Linked DNA regions of Coturnix japonica. The protein of the gene in region 2 interacts with the protein of the main gene of each other region in a pairwise test. Links are inferred from orthologs where the notes say so. Each region holds a gene or a part of one and is shown on either strand. Other genes may lie near its edges.

Region 1 (2,725 bases), on a different chromosome or scaffold from region 2:
GCTGTAGCATTAATATTCTTGCCTGTATGTATCACATAGCACATGCCCTACTACTACTGCCCTCTACATGTGCACTTATAGCTTGCTCAAGTGTGCAGGCCCAGTATGTTTGGACTTTGATAATATTAAAGGCTGAAGTTTTCAGAACTGTCTTACTGCTTTACTGTTGACAATACAGTATATAATTACTCTGAAGAACTCCTGAGACCTGCACAAATCCAGAATGGCCAAAAGTACAAAAGCATTCTTGGTGTCTGCCTGTCTGCAAAGCTCTGTAGGACACTGTGTTAGTGATCCAACACTCTCAGTGCTGTTTTCTGACCTGAAGGAGTGTGCATAACAGCATGTGTGTGAGGAAAACATGCAGTTAGATTTTGGGCAACATCCCAAATACCCATAGAGAACTGTTTAAAATTTTAAGTTTTGGCTCCAGGTATGGACCTGGTAAGATCAATAACTCTTGCAGCAATACCAATGGACTTTGATATAGCAAAGACCTACCAGTTTGCTCATTTTACACTAACTTTTCTCAAAGCATCAAAAAGATGGCTCTGACAGGCAAATACAAGCTAGATTTCGTTTTCCTACAGAACCTCAAGGTGACTAATTTTTACTGATCAACCCCAGCTGCTTCTGTGGATGAAGATATGAAGATTTTCTAAGCAAAGACTTGTCCAGTAATCCTTTCTTTGCTATAATCACACAACTAAGTCTAAAATTGTGCTGAAAAGTCCTTCTTACCTTCTGACCGTACTGAAAAGGTGACATTAGTAGTCGGCTACTGTCAGAACGTTTAAAGCTGAATCAACTTTTAACCCTAACACCCACTACTGTTTTGCACAGCAAGTGAAAAAAAACTTATCCACTGTTAGGACAACTTGCCCACTGCCACTTTCATATGTTCAAGACACTCCTTTTCACAATCTAAGTTACTTGAGAAGCGTGAACAGGACATCACAACCACACCAGTGCAATTCTAGGTTGCAGCAGTAACAAAACAGTGCAGGCAAAGGTAAGTATTCAAGCACTTACGGTAAAATAGCAACAGCAGCAGAGCCAGATGGCAACCCGCTATTGGCACCAGCCAAACTCCGACACAGCTGGTGCACTGCTCCTTTAGCCATGCCATAGCCAACCATCCCTAGCAACAAAAAACAGGCAAACTAAAGCACAGTTCTCAATATTGGTAATATGACACAAACACGTTACTTTAATTAATAATAAGTTTTGTATCACTTACCACAGCAAGCACAGAAACAGATTTAAAACATACAGAAATACTATTCAAGAAAAAAAATTAAATTTGAATTTACAAGGAAAAACAAACCCAAACAAAAGCCTTCTAATAGACAAACAGGAACAACGGAAAAGCTTTGAGCGTTACAGAACTGACAAACTTACTGCTTTCTACATGTTTATTTAACACTTCAGAACACACCCTGAAGGACCAAGGGAGTTAACCTCAATGGTTTTGTTTTTTTAAGTGTGAAGAGACTCAGTGACTTTAATCAAGTAATCACCTGTTAACTTTGAACATAAGTCTGAAGTATTCACAGGTTTGGACTTGAGCACCCACATTTCTCTCCAGTACAGTAACTCACTGCAGCAGCATCCTAATTCTGACAGGCCCTCTGGAGGAAGCTACAAAAAAAACTATCAAATAGAAAACCCAGCCCGGGCAGAAAGTGACTAAACAACCTGCATGTAAATCCAGCATCTTCGGGAGCACAGCTGCTTTTCAGACAGACAGTACTCAGCAGCGTAAGATGTATGGGAATGAGAGCATGCAACATACTGCTCAAGTACAAGAGCTGGACAATCAAGGTTGCTGACAGGTCTCAGCGCTGTCTCATGGTACACATCTGCCAAGCAGCACAGACAATGGTTAAGCACATAGGAAAAAAGATAAATGGCCTCAAGTTGTGCCAAGGTAAGTTTAGGTTGGATGTTAGGAAACAATTATTTACAGAAAGGGAAGTTAAACACTGGAATAGGCTCCCCAGGGATGGTGGCGGATCGCCGTCCCTGGAGTGTTTAAGAGCCATTTGTATGTGGTGCTCAGGGATATGATTTAGCAGAGGGTTGTTAGGGAGTTCGGGTACTATGGTTAGGCTTGCAGTTGGACTTTGGTTGATCTTCAAGGTCTTTTCCAACCTGGGTAATTCTATGATTCTAAATGTATTTTGTCTACTACAACTGGATGACTTTCTACCTCTCTGTACAACTCCTTTTCAAAGTACCCAAGGAAGTATTCTGCAGTGAAGGTATAAAGGTAATTTTGCATTACATAAATGTTTCTGTTACATTCAATTAGATAAACCGTATAATATCCACAGTTATTAGGAGGGATCACCGTCAGCATTAGCTACCTCCTTTTATTTTATGATAAAATATTCACACTTCTATCATATTCCCCTCTTCTGTAAACCAGATACTAAGCCTTCTTAAGCCTTTTCTATGTTTCTTAGCCATTGCTGTTGAACTACTTACTGTAGCTATTGTATTATTTTCAGTTTTCTTCAATTTGCATTGAATGAGTCAACATTTTCACATAGAGGAACAAAAATCACAGGAAGATCAAACAAGAAAAAGAGGATTCCTTCCTTAATGGCTGAAAATAACAAGCCAGCAAGTCATATTTGCAAAAGTTGAGTAACAATTCTTTCCCAACTCTTCCTGAAGTTAATAAGCTCAATGTGTTTGCCCAAAGCACTGCTGTGCTTTT
Region 2 (4,352 bases):
CCGGCCCCGGGGATCACGTTGTTCAACATCCTGTTGAGTATCCAAGAGATAAGTAATGCTGACGTTGCTCTAGCAAACGCAATTAACCACAATGCACTGACAGGAGTTCACATAAAGCTTGTTGGAAATAACCTAGGAGCCAACGTTCCCTATGTATGCCCACACATCTCATGCTACGTACTCACTCTGGTTGCAAACACTGCTGTGCTGCCCTTCTGCCCTCAGTACACTGAGATCTCACTTCCCCACCGAAATAAAAAGAGAAGCAGGACAGTGCCTACAAACTGGCATCACTGTAAAACACAACTGAGCTCTCAGTGATGCTTCTCATTTCTCTTCCTGTAATTATTTCCCCCTTTTGAAGCAGTCCCTCTTAGGAAAAGACAGTTCTGTGTGCACTGAAACACGCACAGTTAACAGCTTGAGAGAGATCACCAGGAGGATTTAATGTACAGCATAACAGGAAGGGGAAAAAGAGGGGAAAAGAAACAAAACGACCCAACAGGCGATACAACACCGATCTTGTGTAGCACTTTTTGAGAGCATAGAAGCAAATGGTAAGTGACAAGGCATTCATTTTTACTGACACACAGCACAATGAAGAGCGAATGCATTTTGTACGAGTCACTAAAAATAAGAGACCACACAAGCATAAAGATCCAAAACATGCAAGCACAACATACTCATACCTTACATATCTTTCACTATTAGCTTAGAGATTTGAAACAGAAGAGCATCTATAACTAAAGGAAAAGGGGAAAGTCAATAGCAGAACAGGTAAGTTATTATGCAAGTTAACGCAGTTATCTGACAGCATCAAGTTTGAAAGATCACACACAATGGGGGAAGCTTCATTTTAAAGCATTCTTTACACACTTCTGTTCTGGAATACCAATGCATTTGCTTCCCCACTTCCTAAAACTCCAATGCTAATTGCACTAATGTAGGAAGGACCTCTGCTAACCAGTAAACCCCTATTCCACTCCTCCTTGCCATACCCAGTGCAGCTGGCATTGATTCCTTCACGTGCCCCTCTGCCAGCAAGAAGCTTATCCTGAGGAAGCAGGAGGAAACAGATCTTTGGAATACTTTAAAGGGGAAAAATAATATTGAAAGGCAGAGAAATATGAGATGGAAGTGTCCCATCTCAACACGCTGCTCATTGCCTCACATTGAAGAGTACTTGAGTCTGGGAGGAGCACTCACAGGTGTGGATGCTCACTTAGCCTCAGTCTCACAAGGACAAGCAGCACAAGGATCCTTATTTGATTACAAATGTTCACACATCAAAACGTTACTGCAATAGAAATAAACTGAAACAACGTGACAGCAACGTTAAGGATTAAAATAAAGCAAATCAGATGAAAACTAACTGCATTCCAAAGATTCTCCTTCAAAAACCAGGGGAGGTGCATGCTCTCAGCAAGCATTAGTAAGTCGTGGAGCACTGTTAGAACTGCAGATGGCAATCACCAGTCAGGGGGGTGACACAGCCCAACTTGGGATAGTGTCCTTGTGGTGCCAGGCAGAATGCAATGGATGTGTTCTGCTTCCAAACGATTCTCCCCTCACCCCAGTGTGCACCTGAGCCTTCACAGGGTGCCTCAGCACAAAGGATGCTTAAAGCCTGAGCTCTGCTGCAGCATTTCACACTGTTCTTCCCTTACGTCATTACTATTTCTCTCTCTGCCACCCCAAAGAGAGAACAGCTTTGTATTTTTCTACTCTACAGCATGAAACAATGAGTCTATTTAATATTTTTTTTTTAAACAGAGATGCTGAGAATACTCCAGCCAGTATAAAACTGCTGCCTCTAAGCACTGCTGGTCAGCAGCAAGCTGCATCCTGCCCTCATCTCTAGCAGCAGCAGCGCTGCACTCTGATTTTCCATTAAAGCAAGCTCTGTTTGCTGCTTCTTTTTGCTCAGATAAACAGTGAAAGTCCATCACATCCCTATACCTTCTTACCTCACTCTCAAACCCACAAACAGACAGGTGCAGAAGGAAAACAGTCCCACCAGCCTGGCACAGACCCGGGGCACAGCCAAGGCTCTCTCTGCCCAGGAAGGCAGCAGTTACCTGTTCTTGCAGCTCTTCATCCAACCGCTGGTAATCATTATTCCAAACCAGGACATGCAGGGGGTACGCAGCGCTGGCCCTGCCGGGGGAACTCATCATGCCACGCACCTGCAGGAGCAGGGGAAGCAGGCAGCCTGCCCTCACCACCCCCTGCTTTGTTTAGGGGCACCCCATGCAAAATCCCACACCCTGGGGGGGGGGGCTGCTCCTACTGACCCCCTCAGACCTCTATCCCCCCCCCCCCCCCCCCCCCCCCCCCCCCCCCCCCCCCCCCCCCCCCCCCCCCAAACCACCATCCCTATGGCCTCCCTCAAGTCTCTGCTCCCCTTTAATCCCCTTTAGGCTTCAGCTTCTGCCCCCCACCCCTCATCCCTATGGCCATCCCCTCTCTCAGACCCACATACCTATAGCTCTCCTTGAATCCCCCACTCCTGCCCCCCCCCGTTTCCTCAGGCCCTTGTTTTTGGAGTCCCCTTTATTCTCCTATATCTGGGGTCCCTTTTACACCTCAGCTTCTGCCTTCCCCCCCCTCTTTCTTCCCCCTTCCCCCCCAGGTCCCTCAGCCTTAGGGCTCTGCTCCCACCCCCCTCTGTCCCCATTCCTGGTGCCCTCCCTAAGACCCTCACTCCTATTCCCCACCCTTATCCCTCAGTCTCCAGCTCCCAGTGCCCTGCTCCCCCCATCCTTAGGCCCCACCTCACACCCCAGCCCCTTTCCCACCCAAGCCGTCTCCTCACCCCCGTCCCTTGGCCCCTTCCTTTCCCTCCAGGGCAGCGGTAGGGCCGTCCCACAGCACGGCAGCTGCGTTCAATAGGGCCCCGTTCTCTCCCCGCTGCAGCCCACAGACCCTCACACAAGCGGAAGTCTCAATTCCCCGCTCTCCCCCCATTTATATACAGGGCGTCCTGCCCGCCGGCTCCTCCATCGCTTTACCTCTCAAGGGGGGGAACCTCTGAGCCGTAACACTGACGAGCCGCCCTGTTCTCACCATCCCCCCCCGCCTCTGGGCAGCGTTGGTTTCGCCCGCATGCTCTACCGCGGAAATACGGAAGACACGCAGCCATTGCGAGTGAGGGCAGTGTCTCTATTCGCCATTTTAAGTTAGGGCGATACGACGGCTACGGCAGCGCAGCTCCGCCTGGCTTCTCACGTTAGCGTAAAATGCTTCGTGAATAGCGAGCGGCGGCGTAGCGTGCGGTGCTGACGTACGCATGCGCACTACGCGCTCGGCTCGGCCGCCCGGCGGGGGCTGAGGCGGCCCCTTGAGCGCGGCAGGAAGCGGCCGGTCCCGATCCGAACAGCGATGTCGAAGCGGCTGAGGAGCAGCGAGGTGTGTGCGGACTGCAGTGCGCAGGGTAAGGCCGGAGGAACCGAGGGGAGAAGGGGGATAAAGGGGAAAGACGAGAGGAGGGGGCGGCAGGGCCCGTCCGCATCCCCACCCCCCTGCACTGAGGAGAGGAGGGCAGGTGCCGCTGTGTGGATGGGCGCTGTGCTGACAGGGGGTGTGGGGAATAAAGGTATAAAATGAGGGTCTAAAGTCCCTATTTCTGCTTATTTATAGTGCTGGTGTTCCTGTGTTAGAGACTGGTTTTTGTTTTGGGTGAACAAACCCAACTCCCTCAGCCTGTCCTCATAGGGGAGGTGCTCCAGCCCCCTGATCATCTTCCTGACCCTCCTCTGGACCCTTAACAAAATCTCCATGTCATTTTTGTACTGAGGGCTCTACACCTGGACACAGTACAACAGGGCAGCCAGCACACAGCAGGGTCACAGCTCTGTGTGTTGTTGGGTGCTGCATGACAGCGTCAGATCTGATGCTCATAGAGAAGCCTGCTGGTTTAGCCATGTGTGTAACAAAAGCTTAGTCCTTTCTTCACAAAACAACCCAAAAACCTGAACAAACCCCTTCTTTGATTGAAAGCAGAGTTTGTAGGGCTGGTAGGATCTTCTTCATTTGAGCCAGGTTGTCTTCTGGGGTTTCCCCCAACTTCTCTTTGCTTCTTTAGGACCACAAGTGGTCGTGCTGTGCTCAAGGAGAGTTTGACATGCTCTTTTCTGTTACACTTCCTATGCTGCTGGGGCAGGAGCTCACTTCTCGTACCCGCAGAGCACGCCTGTCCTTGCACGCTTCCTGTTTTGAAGCGCTCTGCCATGTTCCTGAAAGCAAACTTGAGAGATCTTTTGAGTATTTCTTGTGTTCCGCCATCAGTGTAAGTGTATTTGCGTTGCGTTTGTACCTGTATTGCCTTTAGAAACAGACTAAACTCCAACGCA

The links.
Region 1: the proteins of ANKRD13A (region 2) and QDPR interact in a two-hybrid assay, tested with the Homo sapiens proteins (2 studies listed by BioGRID). The two-hybrid records come from large-scale screens. The link is inferred for Coturnix japonica from reciprocal best matches to the Homo sapiens genes ANKRD13A and QDPR.

What each region holds. Positions count from the first base shown.
Region 1 is NC_029519.1:68,886,281-68,889,005, reverse strand, and holds part of QDPR (dihydropteridine reductase), read right to left. Parts: intron 1,142-2,725; coding exon 1,033-1,141; intron 1-1,032. UniProt on the Homo sapiens protein: Catalyzes the conversion of quinonoid dihydrobiopterin into tetrahydrobiopterin.
Region 2 is NC_029530.1:6,004,429-6,008,780, reverse strand, and holds the start of ANKRD13A (ankyrin repeat domain-containing protein 13A), read right to left. Parts: upstream 2,983-4,352; 5' UTR 2,968-2,982; coding exon 2,816-2,967; intron 2,187-2,815; exon of another isoform or gene 2,178-2,186; coding exon of another isoform or gene 2,158-2,177; coding exon 2,079-2,157; intron 31-2,078; coding exon 1-30. Other genes in the region: ARF GTPase-activating protein GIT2, read left to right, coding at 3,382-3,433. UniProt on the Homo sapiens protein: Ubiquitin-binding protein that specifically recognizes and binds 'Lys-63'-linked ubiquitin. Does not bind 'Lys-48'-linked ubiquitin.